Pelodiscus sinensis: one gene and its partners. The protein of the gene in region 1 interacts with the protein of each later gene in a biochemical or structural test. Links are inferred from orthologs where the notes say so. Each region holds a gene or a part of one and is shown in the gene's direction. Other genes may lie near its edges. The genes, in order: HNF4A, SREBF2, NR0B2 and NCOA6.

The links.
Region 2: the proteins of HNF4A (region 1) and SREBF2 form a complex in vitro, tested with the Homo sapiens proteins (2 studies listed by BioGRID and IntAct). The link is inferred for Pelodiscus sinensis from reciprocal best matches to the Homo sapiens genes HNF4A and SREBF2.
Region 3: the proteins of HNF4A (region 1) and NR0B2 form a complex in vitro, tested with the Homo sapiens proteins (4 studies listed by BioGRID). The link is inferred for Pelodiscus sinensis from reciprocal best matches to the Homo sapiens genes HNF4A and NR0B2.
Region 4: the proteins of HNF4A (region 1) and NCOA6 form a complex in vitro, tested with the Homo sapiens proteins (2 studies listed by BioGRID). The link is inferred for Pelodiscus sinensis from reciprocal best matches to the Homo sapiens genes HNF4A and NCOA6.

What each region holds. Positions count from the first base shown.
Region 1 is NC_134728.1:23,050,212-23,057,585, forward strand, and holds the start of HNF4A (hepatocyte nuclear factor 4-alpha), read left to right. Parts: upstream 1-4,365; 5' UTR 4,366-4,512; coding exon 4,513-4,633; intron 4,634-7,374. UniProt on the Homo sapiens protein: Transcriptional regulator which controls the expression of hepatic genes during the transition of endodermal cells to hepatic progenitor cells, facilitating the recruitment of RNA pol II to the promoters of target genes. Activates the transcription of CYP2C38.
Region 2 is NC_134711.1:88,818,875-88,825,751, reverse strand, and holds the start of SREBF2 (sterol regulatory element-binding protein 2), read left to right. Parts: upstream 1-3,870; 5' UTR 3,871-3,997; coding exon 3,998-4,079; intron 4,080-6,877.
Region 3 is NC_134735.1:2,378,530-2,385,460, reverse strand, and holds the start of NR0B2 (nuclear receptor subfamily 0 group B member 2), read left to right. Parts: upstream 1-3,917; 5' UTR 3,918-4,126; coding exon 4,127-4,670; intron 4,671-5,997; coding exon 5,998-6,278; 3' UTR 6,279-6,931. Other genes in the region: nuclear migration protein nudC, read right to left, coding at 1,537-1,629. UniProt on the Homo sapiens protein: Transcriptional regulator that acts as a negative regulator of receptor-dependent signaling pathways. Specifically inhibits transactivation of the nuclear receptor with which it interacts.
Region 4 is NC_134728.1:30,852,633-30,860,365, forward strand, and holds the start of NCOA6 (nuclear receptor coactivator 6), read left to right. Parts: upstream 1-4,724; 5' UTR 4,725-4,892; intron 4,893-5,323; exon of another isoform or gene 5,324-5,442; intron 5,443-7,733. UniProt on the Homo sapiens protein: Nuclear receptor coactivator that directly binds nuclear receptors and stimulates the transcriptional activities in a hormone-dependent fashion. Coactivates expression in an agonist- and AF2-dependent manner.

The sequences.
Region 1 (7,374 bases):
TTCCGGAAAAGGGGTGCAGTATAGACACAGCCTGAATGTGCCAAGAACAGAACACAGCTGCCCCTCTCCAGCTGCCCCGCTCTAAAGACATCATTACCGCTAGCAGCAGTGCAGAAGTAAGGGGAGCAGTACAGCAACTCCCCCCTACAATAAGCTTGTACACACACACACACACACACACACACACAACTGCTTTTGGGACAGGCCCCTTACAATTATAACATCATGACATTTCTTACATCATGAAATGCATGATTTTTAAATTCCTGTGACCATGAAATTGACCAAAATGGACAGTGAATTTGGTAGGGACCTATAGGTGATGATATCCTTCCCATGCCTCTTTCTTAATTGCCCTCTATCCTACTCCTCATTGAATGAGCTGCATATCTCGTCTGCGGAGAATCCTCTTTTCTCTCAGTGGAATTGCCAGGCGTGAGCATCTGTATACCGGGCAGGCAGGATTAGTCTCCTGTCAGCCTTGTATGAGGCAAAACACAGCAGGATTTACTGCTTGTCTGATAAAAATCAGATGATTGCCCTCTGCATAAAACACGCCAGTTCCTGGAATTCTAGCCATTTCCAATTCTAGCTGTCTCACGTAGTCTGAACTGCTAGGAAGGTGGGTGGGGAGATATATTGGAGGGAGGAAGTTTCTGTATCCAACTGGATTCCATCTGGGGTCCTGATCAGTGTATGTGGGGCTACCATTCACTGGGACTCTCACCACCAGGACAGAACATGGAGACACCCATTGGTCGACCCAGACTCCACCCTTCCACTCTCCATAACTTCTGCCTTCTTTCATCCAGCTGCTGCTACTTGCTAAAACTGGGCCAAATTCTCCTCTCAGCTGCACTGGTGTTAATGGGCCTGATCCCTGACCAATTGAAGTTAATGTGAATATTTCCAGTGACTTCAAAAGGCCGAGGGTCAGCCCCGGTATGGTTTACTCCTCTGAAGTCAGTGGATTTCCTCTGGATTTTTACCACTGAGACCAGAATTTGTCCCTGCGTCTGACTGGTACTAAAAGGGACACCTCTGCTAAGTGGGGCAGAAAAATTCAAATCCGCCTAAAAAGGCAAAGAAGATTTGCTCATTAAATAGTGTTTTATGGAGTCTCTCTCCACCCATTCACTGCTGCTAGTCCGTGTGCTTAGCCCAGGATATGTCATTCAAAGATGCTGTCATACAGGGGCCAATTTACCACGGTTTGTCAATGGAGCCTCTTCTAAACTCCCACTAGAGAAGCTGTCGGTATCTGAGGGAGAGAAGAATCCTCTCGTATTAGCCTGGTGCATGGGCAGCTTGACTAATGTCAAGGATGGTGTATTATTGATGGGAGCAAAATCGATCATTCCCAGTAGAGTACCCCAACCCTGCTTTGCTGTGACCATCTTTGAGGGTGCAGGCAGTGTGTCATTTCCTTGTCCCAGTCAGTGTCTGGCTGCCCTGCTGCGACAAGGGGTTTGTGAATGGGAGTTAGGTGCCTTTGAGGACTTAGGCCTTCTACACTAGGAACGGAATGGAAAACAACAGGAGTGGTGGATTGCTATCACCGCCAACCTAAAGGTGAAAGGCTCCTCTGTCCTGTTGGCAGTTCCCAGCCTCTTTTGCTGCCTAATTCCCCATAACATCTCCTCCCCTGCCCCCCGCCCCGCACACACACACTCTCTCTCTCCTCTTTCACATCCATCTCTTCGTTTTCTATTCCTAGCATTCTTAATCCTCCCTGACCTACGTCCGCCAGACCTTATGGGAGTAAGCAAGTATTTCAGTCTTATTTAGTCAGCAGCTTAGTTGAACAAAGACTTGTTTTGCTGAACTGAGCAAAATGGGCCATGCTTTTATGATATTTTACTAGACACTATGGCAAATCCTGCACATATTTGACTTAGTGTCTGCAGCATTTATCTAATCAAAGGGATCACTCTGGCCAAACCTGGATTGGAACTGAGGTCCCAGGAATGAGGCTGTTAAGGGGCTGTGTTCTACCACCCCCACTCACACACATTGTTTCAAACAAACGAATTCCTGGCTCAGAATTCTCCTTGTTGAAGGGGAAGTGATATACCAGCCATGTGAGTTCAGAGGGGATTCCTTTGCATCTTTAACCATCACCCAGCTCCCACTACAGGAAAGGAACTCTAGACATCAATCCCAGGAAAGGAATGTGGGACTTTCCCACATTCCCACAAAACTGATTAAAGGTCTAGAAAACAAGACCGATGAGGGAAGACTGAAAGAGCTGGGTTCGTTTAGTTTGGAAAAGAGACGACTGAGAAGGGACATAATAGCGGTTTTCAGGTATCCAAAAGGGTGTTACAAGGAGGAGGGAGAAAAACTGTTCTTCTTGACCTCTCATGACAGGACAAAAAGCGATGGGCTTAAACTGCAGCAAGGGAGGTTTGGGTTGGACATTAGGAAAAACTTCCTAACTGTCAGGGCAATTAAACACTGGAATAAATTGCCTAGGGAGGTTGTGGAATCTCCATCTCTGGAGATATTTACAAGCAGGTTGGACAAACATCTATCAGGAATGACCTAGATGGTACTTGGTTCTGCCATGAGGGCAGGGGCCTGGACTGGATGATTTCTTGAGGTCCTTCCAGTTCTAGTATTCTATGATTCCCATACCTCCAGTAACTAAGCTGAAGCAAGATAGCGAATGGATCATACAACAGTAGCCTTGGAGTATAGGTGATGTCTATGCCTTCTGTATAGACTGTTAAGTATCTTAGGACACAGACTTTGCTTACTGAGCTCTTTCCATGCTCAGGTCATAACCATGATGTTCCATTCATATGTCCAGCAACAAAACCCACCAGCCTGCACCATTTCTGAGTTGGAGGCCCCAGAATTTCAGTGTTGAGTTGTGATAGGGAAGCCATTCATATCAGCAAAGGCTTTTGGATTCAGCATGACCTAGTCTTTCCTGCATGCCTGTGAAGTGTGATTAAAACTAGTGCAGGGCCATTAACTCGCAGTTTGTAGACTAAATCGCCCTGCATTGATTGAGAAATAAACTGGGATGTTTTTTATTACAATGAGAACTGACACTAATAATTAATTACTGGCCTTGCGATGCAATTCAGCTGATGCTGTTCAGTGATAAATTGATTACCACTTGTTGGGCTTGTGATGTTATGCAATGGAAATTACAGTGAATTATACAACCCACTGCCACATACTGGATAAACTGTCGTCTCATAAAGCCCTCAAACACCAGATGAGGCCAAGACTAAGTCAGATAAAGTGCAACTCCATTTTCTGACATTTGTAACATGCATTCTTACTGTCCTGTATTATCTGAAGGTCTGATCAAAAGCCCATGGAAGCTGATAGAAGATCTCCCACTAATTTCAGTGGGCTTTGGATCAAGATTTAACTCTATAGCATGTGTTGCGTGCTATAGTAGATAAGAAAGACACTTGCAGGACAAAGTTATGTTGCATTGTAAGATGTCTGGTGAGATTTTTAAAACACAAACACACAGGGAGGATTTTTCAGATTGATCCTTGAAAACTGAATACAGGAAAATGAGCTCTTTTTCTAGGGGGAGATTTTTCAAAAAGTTTGGGCACCAAAAATAATAAAAAGTCAATGCAATTTTATGCCTAATCCACTGTGCACTCACAATGCAACTACAGTCACACTTGTGCTCACCTTTGACAGGTACCTTTGTGTGCCTGGCTCTTCTGAAAATCTGCCCCTGAAGCTGTTGGGAAAGGCTGTGGAGTGAGAAGTGTTTATAGTGAGGTCTGGCCCTGTAAAACTTGGTTTATAGAGAAGTAAAATGAAAGTCCCCTGTTGTTACCATGTGTAAATTGCAATTCCGGTTAAAGAAAAGAAAAGAAAAGAAAAGAAAAGAAAAGAAAAGAAAAGAAAAGAAAAGAAAAGAAAAGAAAAGAAAAGAAAAGAAAAGAAAAGAAAAGAAAAGAAAAGAAAAGAAAAGAAAAGAAAAGAAAAGAAAAGAAAGCAAGCAGTGTGGGGTAAGAGAAGGAGAAAAAGCCCGAGGATAGTGAAGGGGAGGAATACGGCTAGAACTTTGTTCTCCAGGCAGAGTTTTTACAAGTTCTTACAATTCAACTAAAATTAAGACCAATAATAAAACAATTAAGCGTCAAGATCAATAGCCCAGCGAATGTACTACACTCATGGAGAATGCTCTTCTCTCTAAGCGCTGCCACCCCAGTATGTGCCCAGAAGCTGAAATCAGCAAAGTGTATGTAGATTCAATAATAAACAGTCAACAAAATCGCTGCTGCCCCACCAAAAAAAAAAAAAAAATCCAGCTTAGCATTCACCAGTGGGTGAGATGATTAAAGATTAACCCCCCTACCTCCTGCCTCCACCCCTCTGGGGAGTATAGGCCTTGAAGCTCAGCAAATCCTTTCAGAGAAATATTTGAAATAAAAGACAACAGATAGGGGACGCAGTGAAGGCAGCAGGAGGCTGCGAGGCCAATAACCTCCGACAAGGGAATCGCTGCAATCTGGCCCGTGTTTGCTGATGATAATGCGTCTTTCCAAAGCCCTGATAGACATGGAGATGGCAGATTATAGCGCAGCTTTGGACCCAGCTTACACCACTCTGGAATTTGAGAACATGCAGGTGTTGGCCATGGGCAACGGTAAGTCTGCCTCTGGGTTTGCTCTTGCCGGGAGAAGGTGGGATCGGTGGCAAGGCTAGCCAGTGCCTGGCAACAGGCATGTAGCTGGTGTGGAGGGCAGAGGGGGAGAAAGCACCAAGTCAGAAGGGGAATTCTCCCGTTTCTGTAGAGAAGTGTCTCTGTTTGACTAATGTTGCACTTGAACTGACTCAGTGACAACAGCTCAGGACCAAGGTGGTGGGTGTTGTATAAGAACCTGAATAGACCAGAATGTTCCTGCTCAGCATCTGGCCCCGGAAGGCCTGGGGGCCTCAGCGGACAGCCAGTGTTTCCCACAAACTCCTGCCTCAAAGGAAGGGAAAATACAGAATGAAGGTGCTTTACCTCCTTGCTAGGCAGGGCTTCAGAGTAAGGAACTTCCCAGGGCTTGACAGAGATACTGTTGGAAGAGTGAACCAGGACAGAGAGCAGCCGCCTGAGGAGTGAAATGAATGAAAACCCCAGAAGATTTCAGTGTGTCACATCATGCAGCTTGTAACTGGGCTTAAAGTGATATCTCCACATGGAGAGGAGCTGTAGATTGGGCCAAGAGGGATGGGGAGTGGCAGATCTCTCTTCATTATAAAGCGCTGCACTGGGTGCATGTTTCATGGACGCAGGTGGCCTGGCGTTTCTCTCTACAACAGAGGGACCATAGATACCTTGAACCCTGTGGGATGGCAATGAAATGCATAAGAGGCTCAGAGGGGAAGGCTGGGTCCCTCAGTTGGAAATAGTATCCGTGTAACTCACAGCTGGGACACGTTCCTGCTCACACACCCTGGGAAGGATCACAGAAGCTCTACTGGGTTTTGCAACACGGTCCCACTGGTTCCGATTTGGAACTTATGCGGGTTCATTTTTATTAGATGCTCAAGACTTAATCAATGACAATTCCTCTCCAACCTCCTTCTCCCTCCCCCCCATTCCTGCCTAGATACTGGGTTAATTGCTAAGCTCAGTATGCTGCAGAAAGCGACTAACTAACTCTCAGAGCTACCATAATGATGTCCCTGCTCCTAGGTCAGCTCCCTTTGCATGAGCCTGCTCTGAAGACACAAACAGCTTTTAGGGGACAAATCCTGCCACTGATCGCGTCTCGTTGTGGCTGCAGGACAAACTTCTCCTGCTACAAAGCATCTAGACAGAGTTGGGCTGCCCGTGTAAATTTATTGTCCTCTGCCCAGCACTCCATGGTGTCAGCCTCCCCAGAGAGAGCAGACCTGAGCGGCGGGTGTACGCTGCCTGGAGTGGGGCATGGACTGTAACTCCCATTAATTGCACCAGGGTTGTTCATTGCATCAAGTGCCTGTAGGAAGAGCTCCCTTCTCCAATGCTGTGCCTCGTACCTTGGCTAAGAATGCTATGTCAGCAAACCTGACAGCTAGAGGTGGGAAAGGCTTATTAAATTCCCAGCCTCTGCCCAGGGGCTACTTGGGGGGAAATGAGTGGGAGAGAGAGAGAGAACATAATAGGGTTTGTATGAAAACTAACTCCACAACCCTGAAACGTCCTTCCTCCACTGTCACCCCTTCAGCCCTTGTTTTGAGTCTTGGTCCCAAGCCAGTACTGTGACAGGCTGAGGAGTTTGGCTTGGAGAGTTCAAGGGACGTAGGGCAGTGGGATTAGCAGAATGGGAGCTTCCTTCACACTCCATCTCCTTGAGTTGGGTGGAACCAATTGACTTTGCAGAGCTGCCAATATTGAGTTTTACAGCTGGGCCCAAACTTTACTGCTAAGCTTAAAGCCCCTTCCATGTCAGCTCCAGCCCCGGTAGCAGCCTGTACTGGCTGTTCAGCTGCTCCCAAGTTGTGGGGAGAGAGGCAGGAGTCCAGCCCCCAAGCCCCGCCCTCCCCAGGTGAATTCCCTATCCCCTAAGCCACTCCGGAACCCACCCCACCACCCTTCCTTCAGGAAGTACCTTATCCTGCCTTCCTAATGCAGGAAGCGTGAGTTGGCTCCTGCCTTCCTAACACGGTTGCCAGCTCCAGCAACTTGTCCCATCTATCCCATGTATTGAACCCCCTCTCATCCGTGGGAAGTCATCACAACCTCTAAGGCACAGAAAGCCTGTTGAAGCTTTGTGGCGCCAGAGTAGACCTTCCTGAGTTTGCTTAAATACATTTTAACAGAGATGGCTGACAAACTCTACAGGGGTAGAATTCTAACTTGGCTATCCCTCTGAAAATTCTACAGGGGCAGCCCTGATTTTTAAAGCTGTAGCAAGCTGAGCACCATGCAACAGGGCCTGTGGGGAAAAGAGGAAAGTACCAACTTCATTTCCTATGACTTTTCTCTTTCAAGAAGTTTGTTTGTTCAGACACAGTAGGAAATGTGCCCTAGAAACAGTCTTCTAGTGACCCAGTCAATTTATCTGAACAGCTTCCATCTTCTTGATGTATCATACTTTGGGATCTTTGAGCTATAATGGAGAATATTTTAGTGATGGTGACTCTCAACCTTCCCGACTACTGTACCCCTTTCAGGAGACTGATTTGTCTTATGTAAACCTCCACCCGCTCTGGTTCACTCACTTAAAAACTACTTGCTTACAAAATGAGACATAAAAATACAAAAGTACACTAGTACTGAAAAATTGGTTCCTTTCCCAAATTTACCATATAATAATAAAATAGATTGGAATATGAATATTGTATTTACATAGAGCAGTATAAACAAGTCATTGTCAGTATGAAATTTTAGTTTGTACTGAATTCACTGGA
Region 2 (6,877 bases), on another chromosome or scaffold:
CCCATAGACTCCTATAGACAACCACCTAACCTCAAGATGATTCTTACCAACAACCACAGGACATACCACACTAATACCAACCCTGGTACCTTCCCTTGCAACAAACCCCATTGCCAGCTTTGTCCACATATTCACTCTGCTGATACCATTATTGGACCTAACCAAGTGAGTTATAAGATCAAGAACACATATTCCTGCTCATCCAGAAATATAATTTAGGCTATCGTGCCGAAAGTGTCCGTCTGCTATGTTCATTGGACAGACGTCTCAGACACTTCGCCAAAGGATCAATGCCCACAAAACAGATATTAGACAGGATCACAAAGAAAAAACAGTTTCTTGCCATTTCAACCAGAAAGGACATTGTCTCAACGACTTGATTATCTGCATCCTGCTTCAAAGATCTTTTCAGACCACACTTGAAAGAGAATCCTCTGAACTGTCATTCATGCTTAAATTCGACACTTTACGCCTAAGTTTAAACAAAGACATGAATTATCTTACCCATTACAAAGATAGCTTCCCCAATTATCACCTCTAATATCATTAGCTCACAGACATTTATTTCCCCCGCCCCCATCTCCCTTCTGTTCTGAAATTTGATTTGTCCTTTTCATATGTGTTCATTTTTTTTAATTGTATCCTTTGGTATATATGGTTGAGACAATTTTCTTCCACTATTTGATCTGAGGAAGTGGGTCTGGCCCACGAAAGCTCATCACCTAATAAACCATCTTGTTAGTCTTCAAAGTGCTACATCGTCCTGTTTTTTGTAATGAGGAAAAGAGGCTGGAGAGATGGCTGAACAATGATTTGAAGAAGGATGCCTGGCAGATAAGGATATGGAGTTAGTAGGAAAGAAGGAGACAGAGCTGGGGGCTGGGAGAATAAATGCAGAAAAAAGGAGCAGTAAAGTTGGGAGGTTTGGGAAGAGTTTAGATGGTGGGTGGATGCGTGGGGAGTTGCTAAGGGAAAGTGAGAGCAGAGGTGTAGGTGGAGAATTACATAAGGCCTTGCATATTAATATGGGCTTGAATTGGATGTGTTGAGGCAGGAAGCCACCACAAGAATATGAAGGTGGCAATACGGATCAGAGGGAGACACAGATGCTATTATGGTGGTATTTTTAATGTTACAACAATAAGGGCATGAACTGTCCATAGTTTTAACAGTGAGAACAGGAAGGGAAGAGTGGATTCTGGTGATAATTAAGAGGAAGAAATGACAGGACTTAACAAGAGCTTAAGTGATAGGTGTGTTCTAGGGAATATGAAGGAAAAGATCAGAGGCAGCAAACTGACTGTGGTTGGGCTCTATACAAAAGGGGTCATGTCATCTCAAAAAATATATTGGAATTCGTTCCAAAAAAGGCAACGATTAGGGGCATGGAAAGGCTTCCATATGAGACAAGAATAATGAGACTGGATCTTTTCAGCTAGAAAAAGAGATGACTAAGGGGGGGATAAGATAGAGGCTTATACAGTCATGATTGGTGTGGAGAAAGTAGATAAAGAAGTGTTATTTACTCATAACACAAGCACTAGAGGTCAGCAGGTTTAAAACAAACAAAAGGAAGTATTTCTTCATGCAACACATAGTCAACCTATGGAACTCCTTGCCAGAGGATGTTGTGAAGACCAGGACTTTAACAGGGTTCAAAAAAAGAACTAGATAAATTCATGGAGGATAGGTCCATTAATAGCTATTAGCCAGGATGGCGTCCCTAGTCTCTGTTTGCCAGATGCTGGTGTAACCCACACACCTCATGTGGTTCTCTGTTCCATGCTGTGGCACCTAGACCACAGCAACAGATAAGACCAAGAGACCTCTACAGCATGGACTGGGAGCCAGCTGGCTTTTAGCTCAAAGGATAGAGGCTCCTATACTAAGCTTCAGAGGTCCTAGGTTCAAATCTGCCTGGTGGTGGTTACACTGGGTATGGGTGACAGAGGATGGATCACTTGATGATTACCTGGTTCTGTTCGTTCCCCTCTGGGACATCTGGCATAGGCCACTATCAGAAGGTAGAATACTGGGCTAGATGGACCTTTGGTCTGACCCAGTGTGGCCATTCTTGTGAAGCATGAGAATGATGAATTAGCCTGAAGAGGAGCTGTCTCAGAAAGGAACAAGATATGCCTGGAGAGCTGGGATAAATGAGTGATTCATTCAGAATATGAAGTATTCGGCAGTGAAGTAAGGGAGCCTGAGCCTGGAAAGAGGTTTTTAACTGTACAGAGAATGTATATTTCAGGACCTACAGGAGGCTCCTGTGGAATGCACAGAGACCATGTGAAGCACAGGCAACTGCATGAAGCTTGTTTAACCTTAACCAATAAGGGTCTAATGTTCTTATTTTTCTCTAGTGTAACTCTCAATGGACTCTTACTTCTAAAATAAATCCATCCCCAAAAATCAGAGAGATTGGCTTTAAAATAATAAGAATTAAAAGAAAAACTGATTTCTGGTTTCTGAGCCTCTAGGGCCTAGGCACACTCAGGCAGGGATGCCAGCTTCCTCATTTTCCCAGGGGTGCTCAATTCCTGTTCAGCATCAGGCCCCACCCCTGAGCTTCCTCTTTCTGCACCCTCTCACTCTACCCCCTCCCTCCCAGCACCTCTAGTACATGGCTGTTTGGGAGGCACTGGGAGGGAAAAGATGGACCAAATTGGCAGGGCTGTTAGTGGGTGCTGACAACCCACTATTTTACCTTGTGGGTTCCCAGACCCTGGACCCACAGAGTTGGTTCTGTGGACTCAGGTCACATGTGCAAGATTTTGGGTACATCTAGACTACAGGCTTTTGTCGACAGAAGTTTTGTCGACAGATTCAGTCGACAAAACTTCTGTCGACAAAGAGCGTCTACACTACATTCAGTTCTGTCGACAAAGCAAGCTGCTTTGTCGACATGGTAGTGTAGACGCAAAGGACAGTTTACATGCAATAACACCTTCTGTCGACAGAAACTCTGTCGACAAAAAGCGTTATGCCTCGTAAAATGAGGTTTACCAGCGTCGACAAAACTGCTGAGTTCTGTCGACGTTATGTCGACAGAACTCAGCGGTAGTGTAGACGCAGGTATAGTTTTGTCGACAAAAGTCCACTTTTGTCGACAAAACTCTGTAGTCTAGACACACCCTTTGTCTGCAATCTTTTGCATATGAAAGCTGAGAGTCTCAGGTAATCACATGCCTCCAGGATCTGGAGCAGTAAGTAAAACACCAAATCTGGTAAGACCCATAAAATGCAGAGAATTGGCAACAGCTAGACAGCTGGCTTGACCGGAATGACTCTTCATGTGGCCTAGATTTCACTGCATTGTCTTGAGCAGCTTAGCCTGGTGCAAGCACCCCAAGCTGGTGCTGCACTGATAACTCCCTGCATGAGGGCAGGCTCCTGGGCCAAAACTACCCTCTTGTCACTCCACTGGGGGCCTGACTTGGGACTTGTGAATGCTTCAGGTTGGCAATAGAGCTGTGCCCCTTGCCATCCCTATCCCTCATCCCCCCCATCTTCCCCGTCCCCCCTCATCACCATGTGCATTGACTACCCCGCCCTGTCCCTTGCCAGCCCCGCTCCCGCTGCCCTCACCCCCCTCTGTCACCGCGCCTGATACCCACCCCCAGCCGCCTCGCCCTAGCCCACGAGTCCTCCCGGCTCTTTACATCCCGCCTCGGGACATTGAATAACCAGCATTCTGTCCCCGCCCCCCTCATGAATATTCCACCAGGGAGAGCTCGGCCTCGTATGCTAATCCTAGCTGCTGATCGGTGACGTGCTATCACACCACGAGCCGCCTCGCCCGCTGATTGGCCGGCGGGGACCTGGTCTCATTGACAACAAGGCGAGGAAGCGCGCGGCCCGGGCTCCTGGCACGCAGGTGGGGGCGGGGCTGTCCCAAGATGGCGGCGGCGGGCGCTGGGAGCCGGAGCTGAGGCGGTGCCCGGCGGGGGCGGGCGGAGGCGCCGGGCGGGGGCGGCCCGTGCGCGGACACGCGATGGAGAGCCGCGAGCCGGCCATGGAGGCCATGGAGACGCTGACCGAGCTGGGGGACGAGCTCACGCTGGGGGACATTGACGGTGAGCGCGCGGCTCTGGGGGGGCAGCGGGTGCCCGGAGCGCGCGGCTCTGGGGGGGGGGGCAGCGGGTGCACGGAGCGCGCGGCTCTGGGGGGGGGGCAGCGGGTGCCCGGGGCGCGCGGCTCTGGGGGGGGGGGCAGCGGGTGCCCGGAGCGCGCGGCTCTGGGGGGGGGGGGGCAGCGGGTGCCCGGAGCGCGCGGCTCTGGGGGGGCAGCGGGTGCACGGAGCGCGCGGCTCTGGGGGGGGGGGGCAGCGGGTGCCCGGGGCGCGCGGCTCTGGGGGCGCCCGGCGTAACTCGCTCGCGGGGCGCGGCAGCCGCAGCGGGGCAGGGGTGAAGAGGCGAACGAGCCGCATCCACGGGCCGGGGTGTGAGCTCGGGCCGGGGCGCCCCCACGCCTCTGTGCGCCGCAGCCGGGCGGCTCAGGCTGTAATTGCCACGGCCCGTGCGCGTTTCTTGGCCGGCTGCTGTTCTCTCCTGTTCCCGCATGCTGTGTGCAGCGGGTGCTGATGTGTGCCCCGGCCGTGCCCACCTCGCTTAGGGGAACTGCTGTGTACGCCCAGAGGTGCTGCTGATGCGCTGGGCTGTGCTGCTGCTGGTGCCCTCAGCATGTGTGATTTCAAACTTTTGCTCCCCTCTCCTCCCCCCTTTTTAAGGAACGTAGTCAGTGTATGGCCAGCTTGTGGCCCCACCTGCAGAGAGCCTTGTGCCTGACCCCATAAGCCTGTGTCTTTCCCCGCAAAGTATCTGGCAGAGGAATGAAATGTGTGGTGTTCCCTAATGCCCATATAGTCATTCTGTGTCCATGCACTCTGGAGTGTGGAGCATAGATGTGATGTACATGGGACAAGCCTGTGATCACCTGCAAAGTATCTAGCCAGATAGAATGATGGGATGTGTGTGTGGGGAAAAAACTGCACCTTTAGTTTTGTCAGTTCCTTCAATGATATGTGTGGTGCGGCCACCCTCAGAGCCCAAGATATATATGCCTAGATAACATTTATGTACCCACCTGCTGTAATGAAACTCTTCCCTCCTACCCCAAGCAGACATGCAACAACGTGTGTTCTATTCTTTGGTCTTCCCTTGATGTGCCTGCAGCATCTTGTGTGTGTGTTCCTGTGAAACAGTATTGACATGGTATGGCTAGCACTGTAGCTGCACCATAGAAATCTGCTTTATCTTAGCATCATGGGTTTGTCTGAGTTCGGGGATTTCCTTAGGAGTTAAATATGTGCCTGCTCACTTTCTTCCTCTATCCCTGTAGACCATGTTGTTGTATTAGGAGTGTGTAGAATATCCCAAGAAGCATCTATATCTGTCAGTTTTAGACACTTAGGGCAGGTCTACACTGTGGGGCAAAATCAACCTAATTTGCACTACTCCAGCTATGTTAATAGCATATCTGGACATGCCCTACGGGGTCTCCACTCTGGAGGGTCAACAGGAGAAACTTCCATAAACTTCCCTTGTGTTTTTGTTTCCACTGGAATATTGGTGTTGGGGTGTGTGTGTGTGTGTGTGTGTGAGAGAGAGAGCTTGCGAGAGCGTGAGCAAGCGAGCAATAGGCAGTTGATTTAGTGGGTCTTCATTAAGCCTGCTAAATCAATCTCTGGGGGACCAATCCCCACAGCGCCAATACCTGTAGCACTGATTCCCCAGTAAGCGTAGACAAGTCCTTATTTAAGAATTTGCAATGTGGAACTCTCCATCTAAAAATGCTACTACTATGATGCATGGGAGTAGTTGTGTCACTTGATGAACAATCCTGTTTAACTTGTACTCCGTTTTTTTTAAGTGTTTTTAGAGGGAATGACTCACTGTGGGTGGCTCTTAAATGCTGTGCTGCTTAGTGTAGGTTCCATAAAAACCTATATGGAACATAAATTTGGACTTCCCTGGTCCAGCACCCTTGAGAACTGACTGGTCCCAAATGAGGGAATTTTCTGGAACAAGGGAGGTGACTGCCGGCCCTTCTGCAGCTGGTCTCTGGGCTCTCAGGGGGCTGCCAGCTTCCCACCTCATGTCTGCTCCTTGCCAGTGACTCCCAGGTTCCCCTTCCAGCCACCAATCCTGCTGTTGTCCCTGGTTGGGATACAAAATCCCATTTAATCAGCATTGCACTGGGCTGCTCCAATTGGGCTGGGGACCGCCTCAGGCAGGGGGCTGCTCAAGCCCAGCCAGTCCACTGGTAATGCTTATGGGTTAACTTGACATTCTTAGTTGGGCACCCAGCTTCCTGCCACCAGTCTTGCTGACCCAGCTCTGCTTCTAGCCCTGGCCCTGATCCTGACCCCTCTGCCACTAGACTCCCAGCCAGCCCCCTCCCGCCTGCCAGGGTTCTCTGGTCCAGCAATATTCAGGGTTTGTTACAGGGCCAGACAGGTTCAACTATATTAGAATAGTGCCCTTTTATTCTGGGGCAGATGTTCTGTCCCATGTCTAGTTGTTTTTTCTAGTTCTTGCTTTCGGCTTCTTGCCAGTACTATCCAGCAGTAATAGGGAATAAAAATATCTTCCTTGACTCAAAGAAATTAGAGATGGAAGAGCCCAATAAAGTCACATTTTGTTTCCCTCAGCCCCACCTTTGATGAAATCAGGATTTGGCTGTTTCCAGCAGCATATTCCCCAGGGCTTTTTCCAAGTTAGTTTCAAATGACCCATGTGATTTAGCTTCCATTACTAGGAGAGGTTATTCTATCGATCATGTACCTTACTCTTAAGGAAAGTTTCCCTTTGCTCAGTTTCATCCTTTTGTGCCTTGTTACATCTCTTTGGATCACTCAACATTTCCATTTCTT
Region 3 (6,931 bases), on another chromosome or scaffold:
AGGGTGGTCATTCTTATGGGTACAGCATATCAAGGATAGGACTCAATGACATGAGTGACAAACATAAATCAGCCATATAGGACGGGCTTGCCAAGTGGCGGCGAGCCTCGCTCACCAGCTGTGCGCTGCACATGCAGACCATGTGCTGACCGTGCTGTGCGGCCGTGCTGTGGCGAGTAGATTATGTTAATTGTCAAGCCCTGCATATAGGTACTAATATATGTAATGCAGTTGTAGCTGGGATAGTCATTAGAGCATTACAGAGACAAAGCAGGTGTGCTGATAGCTTTTAGTGGACTCTTAGAATCATTCCTGGACTTGTAAAAGAGTATGGCTCCAAAGCTGCTTCTCTCTCACTAAAAGAAGTTTGTCCAAGAAGAGATTACCTCACCCAACTTGTCTCTCTAATACGGATACTCAGTATTTTTTATATTACATTTATATTACATTTTTATATTACAATTTCAACAAAAAGGGGATGTAATATAAAAAGTAACACCAGTGTGGATTTGTTCATCTTGACTGTCTATAAGGGTTCATGTAGGTTAACAGCACCATATCAATCAACTATATATTGAGAGTATGTGTCTGTCTCAGAACTCCTCCTAAACGGTAAGAGCTAGGACTACCAAATTTGGTATACGGCTTCCTCATATCATAACTTAAAGCACAGTAAAAGTTTGGTTGTGCCAGGAAAATGGGATGGGCCTGGAATGGGGTAGCATCTCATAAAAACATACAGAAAAGAGACAAATCACCAGAAAAGTGAAAGAGGCTGGCTGGGGGCATTTGCCCTGTCCAGGATTGCCACAACACTGAGCCTCCCACCCCTCAGGCATCCTTTAGAGAGGATGGGAGGAAGGGGTGAACCACGTCCCCCAACTCATACGGGACAAGGGAATGAGAATGGTTAATCAATTCATTAGTGGGGGCCGGAGCTGTTCCTTGCCCACTACAGGCAGGGGCTGCTCCGTCCCAAGGAGCCCAGCACGGGTGGGGAGTGCTCCTACCCAGCAGGAGCAGCCCAGCGACAGAGAGCCCACCCTGGACATGCCACAGGGGCACCCAGGCCTGGCCAGAGCAGCCCCTGTTGGCGGCAGAGGAGCTGGAGCGCCCCCACCCCCACTGCCGGTTAACCGTTTAAACACAACGTTAGCCAATTACATGGGGTTTTACATCCTCACGTGCGGGACGTTGCCAGCTGCTTCCCTTGGTCAGGGAGCGGGGGGGGGGGGGCAGTTTGCTGCAGCCCGCCCCAGAGCACGCGCCCAGGCGCTGGCGGTGTCTCAGAGCCCCCCCAGGCCCACGCAGGCCCGGCACAGAGCAAGGGGGGGGACGGCCGGGAGCGGGCGTTACCAGCCCCCCCCCACGCAGGCCCGCCACAGAGCGGGGGGGGGGCGGCCGGGAGCGGCCGCCACCAGCCCCCCCCCCACGCAGGCCCGGCACAGAGCGGGGGGGGGGCGGCCGGGAGCGGGCGTTAACAGCCCCCCCCCCACGCAGGCCCGCCACAGAGCGGGGGGGGCGGCCGGGCGTTACCTCCCGCACGCCGCCCTGGTGCTGCTGGGCCATGGCCAGGAGCATCCCGTCGAAACGCTCCTCCTGCTCCGCCGCCTCCGCACTCGGCCCCATCCTTGCCCGCCGCCACCGCTGCTCCCGCGGCCTCAGACCCTCACACCGGAACCGGAAACCCAGCCACCGCCCGCCAGCCAATCCTCGCGCCCCACGGCCCCCTCCCCGCTCGCTGATTGGCTGGAGCCGCGTCCTGTCATCGGAAAGGAGGCGGGAGTTCCACGCCGGGTTCCGCGCGTGGCGTTGGTTTCTATGGTGACCGGCCGCGTCCGGGGCCTTCCAGAAAAATCGGCGAGGCCGCGTGGCCCCGAGTGGGTAGGGAGTCAAAGGTCAGGTGTTATGGGGCATATCCACGTGGGGTGGGAGCCCTAGGACGGGTTGGGGGGGGGGAGGCCTATATTGGGGTCAAAGGGCGCGATGCCTCGGAGGGGTCAAAGGGCAGGAACCACGTGCCTCAGTGATCAAAAGGGGGGGACCCTCGTGGGAGCCCATATTCTTGGGGGGGGCCTCTGCCAAGGGAAGGCTGTGGGGGGAGGGGCACCAGGCGTCCTGCCAGGCCTCTTGGGCAGGGTGGCCAGGCGTGGCACCAGGGCTTCTCAGTCGCCCTCGGCGCCGCCCGCGTGCAACCCCGGGCATCCCAACCACACCGGGGAAGCTGGCTCTCTGCCGCTTATGGGCACCCAGATGGCTGGGGCAGAGCCTGCCTGCGGCGGGCAGGAGGGAACATCCTGTCCTCCAGAATCACTGTGGAAAACACCAGCGGCAGCACACGGGCCCCAGCGGAGGCACCCACCTCAAGGGTCAAATGCGCTCACCATAGTCATTTAAGGCAATGATTCTTAACCCTTTCCATGCTGCTGCTGTTAGTAACCCTCCCTGGTCAATATCATGCAGAGAGACCAGTAACCTATTTAGATGAACCTATTCACATTACTAAAATTACACTGTTAACTACTGGGAGAAGGGATCTGGAAGCTAGTATTTTCCTAAGACTTTCCATAGTTGGGTGATCTCCACTGGGAACTTCTAGTGACTGAAAGTTCCACTTGGCGCTACACTGGGTTCGTTGATGTTTTCTGCTTCTTTCTAAACATGTAGGCTACGTCTAGACTGGCATGATTTTCCGGAAATGTTTTTAACGGAAAAGTTTTCAGTTAAAAGCATTTTCAGAAAAGAGCATCTAGATTGGCATGGATGCTTTTCCGCAAAAGCACTTTTTGCAGAAAAGCGTCCGTGCCAATCTAGACGCATTTTTCCGCAAAAAAGCCCCGATCGCCATTTTCATGATCGGGGCTTTTTTGTGGAAAACAAATCTGAGCTGTCTATACTGGCCCTTTTGCGCAATACTTTTGCGCAAAAGGACTTTTGCCTGAACGGGAGTCGCATAGTATTTCCGCAAGAAGCACTGATTTCTTACAGTAGGAAGTCAGTGCTGTTGCAGAAATTCAAGCGGCCAGTGTAGACGGCTGGCAAGTTTTTCCAGAAAAGCGGCTGATTTTCCGGAAAAACTGGCCAGTCTAGACACAGCCCTCTTGCCACCTGCTTTCCTCCCACTCATTAACTTGCCTTCCAGACAGCCTGGCTCTTCCTTCCTGCCTGTTCTTTAGAATCAGGCTCCATGATCCTGGAGGGGTAGGGGTTTCAACTAAGTGACTTCTTCCTGCCCTAGAAGTTCCTCTGAGTCACGACACTCCTTGAAGCATGAAGACATAAACATCCATGTATGAACAGTATGATGCATCTAACCTGTCTATAAAACTGATGAAATCTCCTAGGAAACAAGGCAAAAAGTAAAAAGGCCCCATACGTCCGTGTTTCCCCCCTCCCTAAAACACACAAGATACTTGAGGCCCCAGCCTCCATCTGCTGCCCTTTGTAGTTCATTAGGTTTTTTTTTTCTTTATCTGCAACAACAGCAGCCTGTTGTCAACAAGGTTAAACAAACAACCTGCTGATAAAATGACTTCCAGGTTGCTCTTTCCAAGGCCAGAGTTTACAGGCTGTTTTGCTACTGGTCTCTTGCTCCAGACAAGGTCTGTGTGTGTGTGTGAACTCTTTGGCAATGACACCTGTCATATAGCATTGCATGATTACACACCTGGGGCCTTGGTGCCATGGTACGGGCTGGGTTAATGACTTTGTTTATACTGTTGGGTAATCCAGATAAGAAAGCCACTCAATCTGCCATCCCATCCCATCCTCCTGGCCCTAACTGGCACTTTCATTGAGAAAACCTTTATCTGCACCAGTGGAAGCTCCACTTCCCCAGCCAATCAGTACTGAGTTGAGTTGTTTTTCAATGAACGGTGCTTAGTTAAAGAGAGGTCAAGGCTGCTAAGGGGGTGTTTCACTTAGAGTCTTATAAATAGAGCCAGGAATAACAGCCAAAGGTATAAGAGAGGTGACCGACCTGGGAGCAGCAGGCTGCAGTCAGAGAGCTTTGACTGATACAGCAGCCTTTGCAAGGGACCAGGCGTGCTCACAGATCCACCCAGCCAGGTGCACAAGAGTCTCATCCTCCTTGGGACCTGACGGGATCCACTGGCCAGGCTCAGCAATGACTACATGCAGCATGGATCTGGACTATGAGAAATGCCAGTGCCACAGTGAGGAGAACCAAAATGCCATCCTCTACGCCCTCTTGAGCCAGAACCTGAACCACAACTGGGGCAGCCACAGCCCATCCCAGCAGCGCTGCCTGTGCCAGAAGCGTCGCACCGTCAGCCTCCGGACACCTCAGCTCACCTGCCAGGCAGCCTCAGATGTCCTTGTGAAAACAGTCAGCTTCATGAAGAACCTTCCCTCCTTCCAGCTGCTGCCTCGGGGGGACCAGCTGCTGCTTCTGGACAGCTGCTGGGCTCCACTCTTTATTCTGGGGCTGGTTCAGGAGATGGTGACCTTTGAGGTGATGGAAACCCCAGCCCCGAGCATGCTCAAGAGGATCCTTCTCGATGGCCAAAGGAAGAGACAGGAGCCTGAGAGGGCACAGCCCACCTTAGCTGGCGTGAAGAGGCTACAGTGCTGCCTGAACACATTCTGGGGCCTGGACCTGAGCCCTAAGGAGTATGCCTATCTGAAAGGAGCCATTCTCTTTAACCCTGGTGAGTGCCGAACCCTCACACCCCTTTCTGTTGGCAGGGACAGATGGCACGTCACACAAGAGTATCTAGCAATGAATAGCTGTCCATCCATCCAGGGAGCTCAAAGCTCTTACAAGCTAAGGATATTAAATATCGGGTAATTGACTAATTGAACAGTCAATGCATTTTTGCATCAACTGTTCAATTAGTCGATAGGGTGCCTCTGCCTTTGAAGCGTAGCAACAGTCGTTGCTTAAATTTGACACTTTACGACTGGGCCTCAACAAAGATGCTAATTATCTTACCCATTACGAAGATAGCTTCCCCAATTATCCCCTCTAATATCATTAGCTCACAGACATTAACCTCCCGCCCTCATCCCCCTTCTGTTCTGAAATGTGATTTGTCCTTTCTATATGTGTTCGCTTTTTTTGATTGTATCCCTTTGGTATATATGGTCATGCCAATTTTCTTCCACAATTTGATCTGAGAAAGTGGGTCTGGCCCATGAAAGCTCATCACCTAATAAACCATCTTGTTAGTCTTTAAAGTGCTGCATGGTCCTGTCTTTTGTTTCAGCTAGACCAGACTAACACGGCTACATCTCTATTACTAAGCTGGATGTAGTATCCCTATTTTAAAGACAGGCCAACTGAGGCACAGAGCATTTTCAGGGCTAATTTTCAGCTGTGCTGAGCATCTCCAGTTCCCATTGACTTTTGGAATTCAGGCTGTTAGTGACTTGCCCCAGTTGGTCACTTGCTTTAACTCACAAACCTTGGAGTCAACTGTGCTGATAGGGGTGGCTTATTAGTTTCGCAGTCTCTCAAACCCTAACCAGGGTTGATTCAGTTCTTCCTCTTTTTGAAGCAAATAAACTAAGTCCTATATAGTTTATTGTGATGGAAGGGACTATTTTAATCAGATTTTAAAATTGCGGTCTTGCATACCCTTCAGCAAAAAGAGGATCTCAGAGCATGTTTTTCTAGAGCTGCATTTTGCCCGAGCTGTATTGGTCAATATTTTTCCTCCCTTGATGTGTTACACACTAATAATGAACTGCTGCTCTCCACCTCAGACGTGGCTACGTTTCAGAGATGCTGCATATCTATAGCTAGTACTTTGGGATCCTCATATACTATGAAATGTAAGGAAACATGTTTATTTATCTGCCTGTGCCGGTGTGCAGGCAGTAGAAAGAAATCAAATTTGATTGTGAATCACTAGCAATAGCGGTGAACAAGCCTTCAGCAGAGGCACATGCAGGATAAGAGCCTGGGCCTGGGGCATAGCTTGGGAAGCAGAGGCTAATTTTCATTTGTATTTCCTGTTGTTTCTCTTTCCATAGATGTCCCAGGTCTCAGAGCCTCTCTGTACATCGAGAGCCTCCAACGGGAAGCACAGCGAGCGCTCCGAGAAGTCCTAGTGCCCCTGCACCCAGAAGACCAGGGCCGCTTTGCCCGCATCTTGCTGATTGCCTCCACCTTGAGATCCATTCCTCCTGCACTTATCACAGACCTCTTCTTTCGACCCATCATTGGCAATGCAGACATTATTGAGGTGATCACAGAAATGCTGTATGAAATAACCAGCCGGCGACTGACTCTTTCGTCACACACAGCCTCTTGAGAGATCACATTCAGGGCCACCCTCACATGCGCCTCCTGAGCACTGAGTTGAGTTTCAAGGGACAATAACATTAATATGATGTGGGGATTTGGTGGGAAAGATACTGTGGACTTTCAAACACACCTGGTTTTGTGTGTGTATTTCACTTGGGCTCAGGCAACAGCTTCAGCAGTTGAAAAGTGCAGCTAAGCCACATTCTAGAACATAGCTCTTATTTATTCAGCCCCTGTACAAACTGAACTCATAAAGCCAAATCATTTCTGAAGTGTGTGTGATTTTACTATTTCACTGCACAGTAAAGTAGAAAAAAAAGCATGGCCAATGTCCTTGAAACAGTCCTTGCAAAATAAACCTCTGGGCTGACATTTTCCCTAGGAAATATGCAGATCAGAGAAGCACTTCTTTGAGAAAGGAGGAGATTGAAGCCAGGGCTTTGTACAGAATGGAGTTTCCCAGTTTTACATGATAAAATTTCCAGAGAAAGACTCTGTTACATACACACACACACTCACAATCTGATTTTTAGATGGGCTCAGCACTCAGTCAGCCTTTTAGATGTTGCTCAGCACCTCTGAAAACAGGCCTGCAATAAATGATGGCTGTGTCTACACTGGCAAGTTATTCCGGAAAATCAGCCGCTTGAATTTCCGGAA
Region 4 (7,733 bases), about 7.8 Mb from region 1:
GTTTTTGATCTTATAACTCTCGGCTACATTTCTATCACTCATTGGTGTGGGTGAGTAGTGCTTTTAATGTGGGTTTTATTGCTAAGTCTGGCAGACTGGGAGTGAAGGGATTGGTGGTGCAGACCTCTCAGCAAAGATGGTTGGGAATCTCTCAATTTCAGGCTTCAGTGAAAGGGAAAGTGCTTCCCTTGGGAGCAGAGGATTGGGAGTTGGTGGTGTGTGTAGGGAGGGCGTTTTTGTGGGTGAATGGAGCTGGCTCTGGAGTGATGCAATCTCCATTGAAAAGAATAATAATCTTCCTTCCTGTTCCTCCCCACTGTGGGGAATTGAGGGGCCCACCCAAGTAGCTAGAAGGGAGGTCCCCCAACCCAAAGAATGTCTGATGCTGAGGAGGGGGCATCCCAGACTCTTTCAATCAGGGATGGAGTGATGAATTTCTCCTCTAGGGGTGCCAGTGGGTAGATGAGAGAGTATCTTCTACATTCACTGGGGAGGTGAGGTGTTTTCCTGTGGGGATGCCCCAAATCTCGCAGTGGGATGGGGTGAGGTTCTGCCCTGTGAACGTGAGGCTCCCAGAGGGGGTTGAAGCTGGGGGGCTCCCAGAGGGTGGGGATCAAGCTATGTCCGAAGGGCATGGGGGCTTCCAGTGGAGGGTCAAGCTGTGCCAAGGGCATGGAGGGGTCAGGCTGTGGTGAGGAGGTAGCGGGGCGGGGGGGGGAAGAGAGGTGTCAGGCTGTGTCCAAGGGCTGTGTCCGAGGGGCGGGGAGTAGCGGGGGGGGGGCAGTCAGGCTATGGTGAGTGGGTAGCGGGGGGGGGTCAGGCTGTGTCCGAGGGGCGGGGGGGTAGCGGGAGGGGGTTAGGCTGTGTCTGAGGGGGAAGTAGCGGGGGTGTCAGGCTGTGTCCGAGGGGCGGGGGGGTAGCGGGAGGGGTCAGTCTGTGTCCAAGGGGCTGGGGAGGTTGCGGGGGGGTCAGGCTGTGTCCGAGGGGGGTAGCGAGGGGGGGGTCAGTCTGTGTCCGAGGGGCGGGGGGGGGGGTCAGGCTGTGTCCGAGGGGCCGGACACAGAGTAGCAGGGGGGGCCACTCAAAAAGAAATAACAAAATGTTTTTAAAGTACATTAGAAGCAGGAAGCCTGCTAAAAAACCTGTGGGTCCCCTAGATGATCGAGCTATAAAAGGAGCAATCAAGGACGATAAAGCCATTGCGGAGAAACTAAATGATTTCTTTGCTTCAGTCTTCACGGCTGAGGACGTTGGGGAGATTCCTGAATCTGCACCGTCCTTTGTGGGTGATGAATCTGAGGAACTGTCCCAGATTGAAGTGTCATTAGAGGAGGTTTTGGAACAAATAGAAAAACTTAATGTTAACAAATCTCCGGGACCAGATGGCATTCATCCAAGGGTTCTAAAAGAACTTAAATGGGAAATTGCTGAGCTATTATCTGTGGTTTGTAACCTATCCTTTAAATCGGCTTCCGTACCTAATGACTGGAAGGTAGCCAACGTGACACCAATATTTAAAAAGGGCTCTAGAGGCGATCCTGGCAATTACAGACCAGTAAGTCTAACTTCAGTACCGGGCAAATTAGTCGAAACAATAGTAAAGAATAAAATTGTGAATCATGTAGAAGAACATAATTTGTTGGACAAAAGTCAACATGGTTTCTGTAAAGGGAAATCCTGTCTTACTAATCTGTTAGAGTTCTTTGAAGGGGTTAACAAACATGCGGACAAGGGGGATCCAGTAGATATAGTATACTTGGATTTTCAGAAAGCCTTTGACAAGCTCACTCACCAAAGGCTCTTATGTAAATTACATGGCCATGGGATAAGAGGGAAGGTCCTTTCTTGGATTGAGAACTGGCTAAAAGACAGGAAACAAAGGATAGGAATAAATGGTAAATTTTCAGATTGGAAAGGGGTAACTAGTGGTGTACCCCAAGGGTCAGTCCTGGGACCAATCCTTTTCAACTTATTCATAAATGATCTGGAGAAAGGGGTAAGCAGTGAGGTAGTAAAGTTTGCAGATGATACCAAACTGTTTAGGATAGTCAAGACAGAAGCAGACTGTGAGGGACTCCAAGAAGATCTCACCAAACTGAGTGACTGGGCAACAAAATGGCAAATGAAATTTAATGTGGATAAGTGTAAAGTAATGCACATCGGGAAAAATAACCCCAACTATACGTACAGTATGATGGGGGCTAATTTGGCTACGACAAATCAGGAAAGAGATCTTGGAGTTATCGTGGACAGTTCTCTGAAAACTTCCACACAGAGTGCAGCGGCGGTCAAAAAGGCAAATAGGAATTATTAGGAAAGGCATAGAAAATAAGACCCAGAATATCTTACTGCCCCTGTATAAAACTATGGTACGCCCACATCTTGAATACTGTGTACAGATGTGGTCTCCTCACCTCAAAAAAGATATTTTGGCCTTGGAAAGGGTTCAGAAAAGGGCAACTAAAATGATTAGGGGTTTGGAACAGGTCCCATATGAGGAGAGGTTAAAGCGACTGGGACTTTTCAGTTTAGAAAAGAGGAGACCGAGAGGGGATATGATAGAGGTCTATAAAATCATGAGTGGTGTGGAGAGGGTGAATAAAGAAAAGTTATTTATTAGTTCCCATAATAGAAGAACTAGAGGACACCAAATGAAATTAATGGGTAGCAGGTTTAAAACTAATAAAAGAAAGTTCTTCTTCACACAGCGTGTAGTCAACCTATAGAACTCCTTGCCAGAGGAGGCTGTGAAGGCTAGGACTATAGAGTTTAAAGAGAAGCTAGATAATTTCATGGAGGTTAGGTCCATAAAAGGCTATTAACCAGGGGATAAAATGGTGTCCTTGGCCTCTGTTTGTAAGAGGCTGGAGAGGGATGGCAGGAGACAAATCACTTGATCATTGTCTTCGGTCCACCCTCTCTGGGGCACCTGGTGCTGGCCACTGTCGGTAGACAGGATACTGGGCTAGATGGACCTTTGGTCTGACCCAGTACGGCCGTTCTTATGGAGGGGTAAGCGGGGGGTCAGGCTGTGTCCGAGGGGGCGGGGGAGGAGCGGGGGGGGGTCAGTCTGTGTCCGAGGGCCGGAGGGGAGTGGTGGGGGTCAGGCTGTGTCCGAGGGGCGGGGGGGGGGGCGCGGAAGGGCCAGTCTGTGTCCGGGGGGGTGCGGGGGGTGCGGGGGGGGTCAGTCTGTGTCCGGGGGGGAGCGAGGGGGTCAGTCTGTGTCTGGGGGGGAGCGGGGGGGTCAGTCTGTGTCCGGGGGGCGCGGGGGGGGGTCAGTCTGTGTCCGGGGGGCCGGGGGGTGCGGGGGGGGTCAGTCTGTGTCCGGGGGGGCGCGGGAGGGGCACGGGGGGGGTCAGGCTGTGTCCGAGGGGCGGGGGGTAGCGGGGGGGGGTCAGTCTGTGTCCGGGGGGCGCGGGGGGGGTCAGTCTGTGTCCGGGGGGGCGTGGGAGGGGCGCGGGGGGGGTCAGGCTGTGTCCGGGGGGGTAGCGGGGGGGTCAGGCTGTGTCCGAGGGGCAGGGGGTAGCGGGGGGGGTCAGTCTGTGTCCGGGGGGAGCGTGGGGGGTCAGGCTGTGTCCGGGGGCCGGGGGGGCGCGGGGGGGTCAGGCTGTGTCCGGGGGGCGGTCAGGCTGTGTCCGGGGGCCGGGGGGGCGTGGGGGGGGTCAGGCTGTGTCCGGGGGCCGCGGGAGGGTTAGGCTGTGTCCGGGGGGCGCGGGGGGGTCAGGCTGTGTCCGGGGGCCGGGGGGAGCGGGGGGGGTCAGTCTGTGTCCGGGGAGCGGGGGGGGGGTCAGGCTGTGTCCGGGGGGGTGGCGGGGGGGTCAGGCTGTGTCCGTGGGGTGGGGGGGAGCGGGGGGGGTCAGTCTGTGTCCGGGGAGCGGGGGGGGTCAGGCTGTGTCCGAGGGGCGGGGGGTAGCGGGGGGGGGGTCAGGCTGTGTCCGGGGGGGGGTGGCGGGGGGGTCAGGCTGTGTCCGAGGGGCGGGGGGTAGCGGGGGGGGGTCAGTCTGTGTCCGGGGGGCCGGGGGGGTGCGGGGGGGGTCAGTCTGTGTCCGGGGGGCGCGGGGGGGGGGTCAGTCTGTGTCCGGGGGGGTAGCGGGGGGGTGTCCGAGGGGCGGGGGGTAGCGGGGGGGGTCAGTCTGTGTCCGGGGGGCGCGAGAGGGGCGCGGGGGGGGTGTCAGTCTGTGTCCGGGGAGCGGGGGGGGGGTCAGGCTGTGTCCGAGGGGCGGGGGGTAGCGGGGGGGGGGGTCAGTCTGTGTCCGGGGCGCGGGGGGGTAGCGGGGGGGTCAGGCTGTGTCCGGGGGGCAGCGGGGGGGGGTCAGTCTGTGTCCGGGGGGCGCGAGAGGGGCGCGGGGGGGTCAGTCTGTGTCCGGGGCGCGGGGGGGTGGCGGGGGGGTCAGGCTGTGTCCGAGGGGCGGGGGGTAGCGGGGGGGGGTCAGTCTGTGTCCGGGGCGCGGGGGGATAGCGGGGGGGTCAGTCTGTGTCCGGGGCGCGAGAGGGGCGCGGGGGGGGTCAGTCTGTGTCCGGGGAGCGGGGGGGGGGTCAGGCTGTGTCCGAGGGGCGGGGGGTAGCGGGGGGGGTCAGTCTGTGTCCGGGGGGGGCGGGGGGGTCAGTGTGTGTCCGGGGAGGCGCGGGGGGGTCAGTCTGTCCCCCCGCGCACGGGGGGGGGCGCCTCTCCCCGCGCGCCCAGAGGCAGGCCCGGCGGCCTGTGGCGGCGGCGGGGGCGCGCGCGCTGCCCGGGCTCGGTCGCGCCCCCGCTCGGTCACGTGTCTGCAGGAGGCGGAGCCGCGGCCGGGCTGCTGCGGTGTCCTGGGCGCTTGGCAGGGAGCGGGCCGACCCCCCCGGTGCGACGGGCCCAGGCCGGCTCTCAGCCCGGCGCCGAGGCGGCGGCTGCCCAGGTGAGGGCGGGGCCGGGCGGGGGGCTCGGGCCCGGCGGGGGGGGGGCGGGTCAGCGGGGCCGGCCCGGGGAGGGCAGGGGCCGGGCACGGAGCGGGCCGGGCCGGCTGGGGGCGGGGGGGGAGCGCGGCCGGCGGGGGGAGCGCGGGGGCGCCCAGGCTCCCGCGGGGGGGGCGAGGCCTGGCCTGGCGCGTGGGGGCGGGTGCCCGCCCGGGCCTGGCGGCGGCGGCTCGCGGGGCTGGGCTCTCCCTGCGCGGGGTGGGGTCCTCCGGGGGCGGGGGCCAGGTGCCTGGGGGGGGGGGCTGGCAAAGGGCCGCGGGCCCCTTTCTCCGGCTGAATGTCCCCGGGGCTCCCGTGCCACCTCCCGGGGGGGGGTCGAAAGTCCCTGCCTGGATGGCAGCCCCCCCGGCACCCCGCCCAGCAGGGCCCGCACCTTTGCTCTCACGATGCCTCCTGCAGCCAGGCGGGCCGAATAATGTTATTCAAAGAGAAACCTCTGATTTCCTTGGCTCAGTTAGTCCCATGAGCAGCTCGCCTAGGTCTGACCCAGCCCCCCGAGAGATGAAGACCTTTGTCACTTCCCAGCATTCCCTGTATGGGCTGAACATAGCTCTGGAGCTCTTGCGTGCTGCCTTGGTGAATCTTGTGCACACTGGCTTCCTCATGTCTGCACTTTGTAGTTGTGGACCCCTTAAACGGGATCCATCCCAGTTTAATAGGAGGGTATTGAATGTTGCATTGGCTAGAGGGTTCATAGTCATACTTCCATTTCAAAGAATGTAGCACTGCTAAGATGGTGTGGATTGTTCAACTCGGATCCAATGTCCTCCTTTTGGTTCTGTCATAGGCTCTGTCATGTATGGGAAACTGGAAGATCCTGTAACTATTTTATTTGATCAACTATCCTTCCTATTTCTGATTTTGAACAAATGCAGGCAGTATGTCAGAGGTTTATTTGTGTTCTCTTCCAGCCCTTTTAAAATAAATTGAGCAACTTTGTGTCCTCTTATTGTGAAGTCTGCATTATTTTTTAAAACACCAACTGTGTTAAGAGACTTGATTACAGGGAACAGTGGCTTTGATTTCATAGGGGTGTCTTGCCTGGCCAGTTGTGCTACCTTTTCTGGTTTTGAGAGTAAACTGCAAAATGTAAATTACAAGAATGCTGTAGAAGTTAAGCCAAGATGACAGGGTTAATTTTAGTCCTGTGAGCCTTGTCTGGATTTTAAAATTGTGTATTGCACACACACAACCCACTTCCCACCTTAGTTAAGCTGCAACTTAAAGTTTAAAGGGACAGTCTTATCTGAGCTTCAGTTATAGAAATAACTCCATCTGTTATCATAATGCTATTAAACCCTCATGAGTATTTTTCATTGTATCTTTACAGAGGTGATATTTCAAAGGGATTCAGGACCCAAGCATCATTCTTCATCCTTCACTGATGGGGAAAATAACGAAAGGTCCTGCATAGGGATTTAATAGTGTAGTCGATTAACCAGTTAAACGCTTATAGGTTAATGCTACAGACTTCACACGTTTCCCTTCCCCCACCCTTGCCAGTAATTTTTTTAGCAGGCTGGCCAGCAGGCTGGCTCAGTTCTGGCTCACACCAGGTCCAGGAGCTCAGACCCTCCCTTAAACAGGGGCTGCTTCACCCTGCACTGTTGCCTCTTTATCAGAGGCAGCAGCACTGGGCGACAAGCAGCCGGTCTACAAGGGGAGCTGATTTTTAAACTGGCTCCCCTCATGGACCAGTTCCTGCCCGCACTGCTGCCTCTGATACAGTGGCTGCTGGAACCACCTCTGGGTACTATAGAATAGTTGACTAACCGATAAAAATTCATAAGGTTACTTGACTATTCAATTAACCAATATTTAACATCCCTAGTCCTTCAGCACCTTAGAGACTCGCAAAAAATATATAGGTAGTATCATGAGCTTTCATGGGCACGACCCACTTCTTCAGATAAATGGGCCACAAAGAGTGAAATGATCAAAAGTGTCCTCTATTTATGCAAACAACAAATTTTGGTTGGTCAAATTTAACCACATATGGTCTATTTCTTCATTGTTTTTGTTCACCTGTGGTGGTGAGCACTTTGTGGTCCCATGGATTTCATGTGGAGTTGTGTGTGTTAATATCTCAGGAAAATAGTAGATGTTTCAAATTAGGCATCCAAAATCAGTGGTTGCTTTTAATCTTTTTGGGCTAGTTGTCTACAGTTACACACAGCAAATTCATAGCAGAGCTGAGAATAAAACATGAATCTCATGACTACTTAGGTTACTACCTAATCAATTGAACCATACTGCTTCCTTTTAATATTAACGTAGAATGACCTGGTTTTACAATGATATTTTTTCATGATAATACTTTGATCCTACCTTTTGCTATTAAGGTCATATTTCATGATTTCTGCACCTCACTCAGGCTTCTGCTCACTGCTTCACTGTCCCCCTGGGAATTAAAAAGTGTCCCTTAGCAGATTTCAGACTTACCCAGTGGAGAGACTTGCAGTTGCTGCTCCTATGGTCAGTTATGCTTTGTCTGAAAAACTTGCTCGGTGGCAGAACTCACAGGGGAGGAACTACCTGCAATAACCTTGCTGCTTACATGATAATCATAGCGTTAAATCTGATGAGTATAGTTATTTATTCCCTTTAAAAAAAACCCCAAAATATCTTGAAAATCAGGCATTTCTAAAATTAGATTAAACTCTCAGTGGCCTTAAAAGTGTGGAACTGCAGTTACATTTCAATAAATAACCTCTGTGCTGTCCTGGATACTGTCCATGTAAGCCTTGTGAGGTAAATAAAAATCTGAGTAAGATACCGAGTTG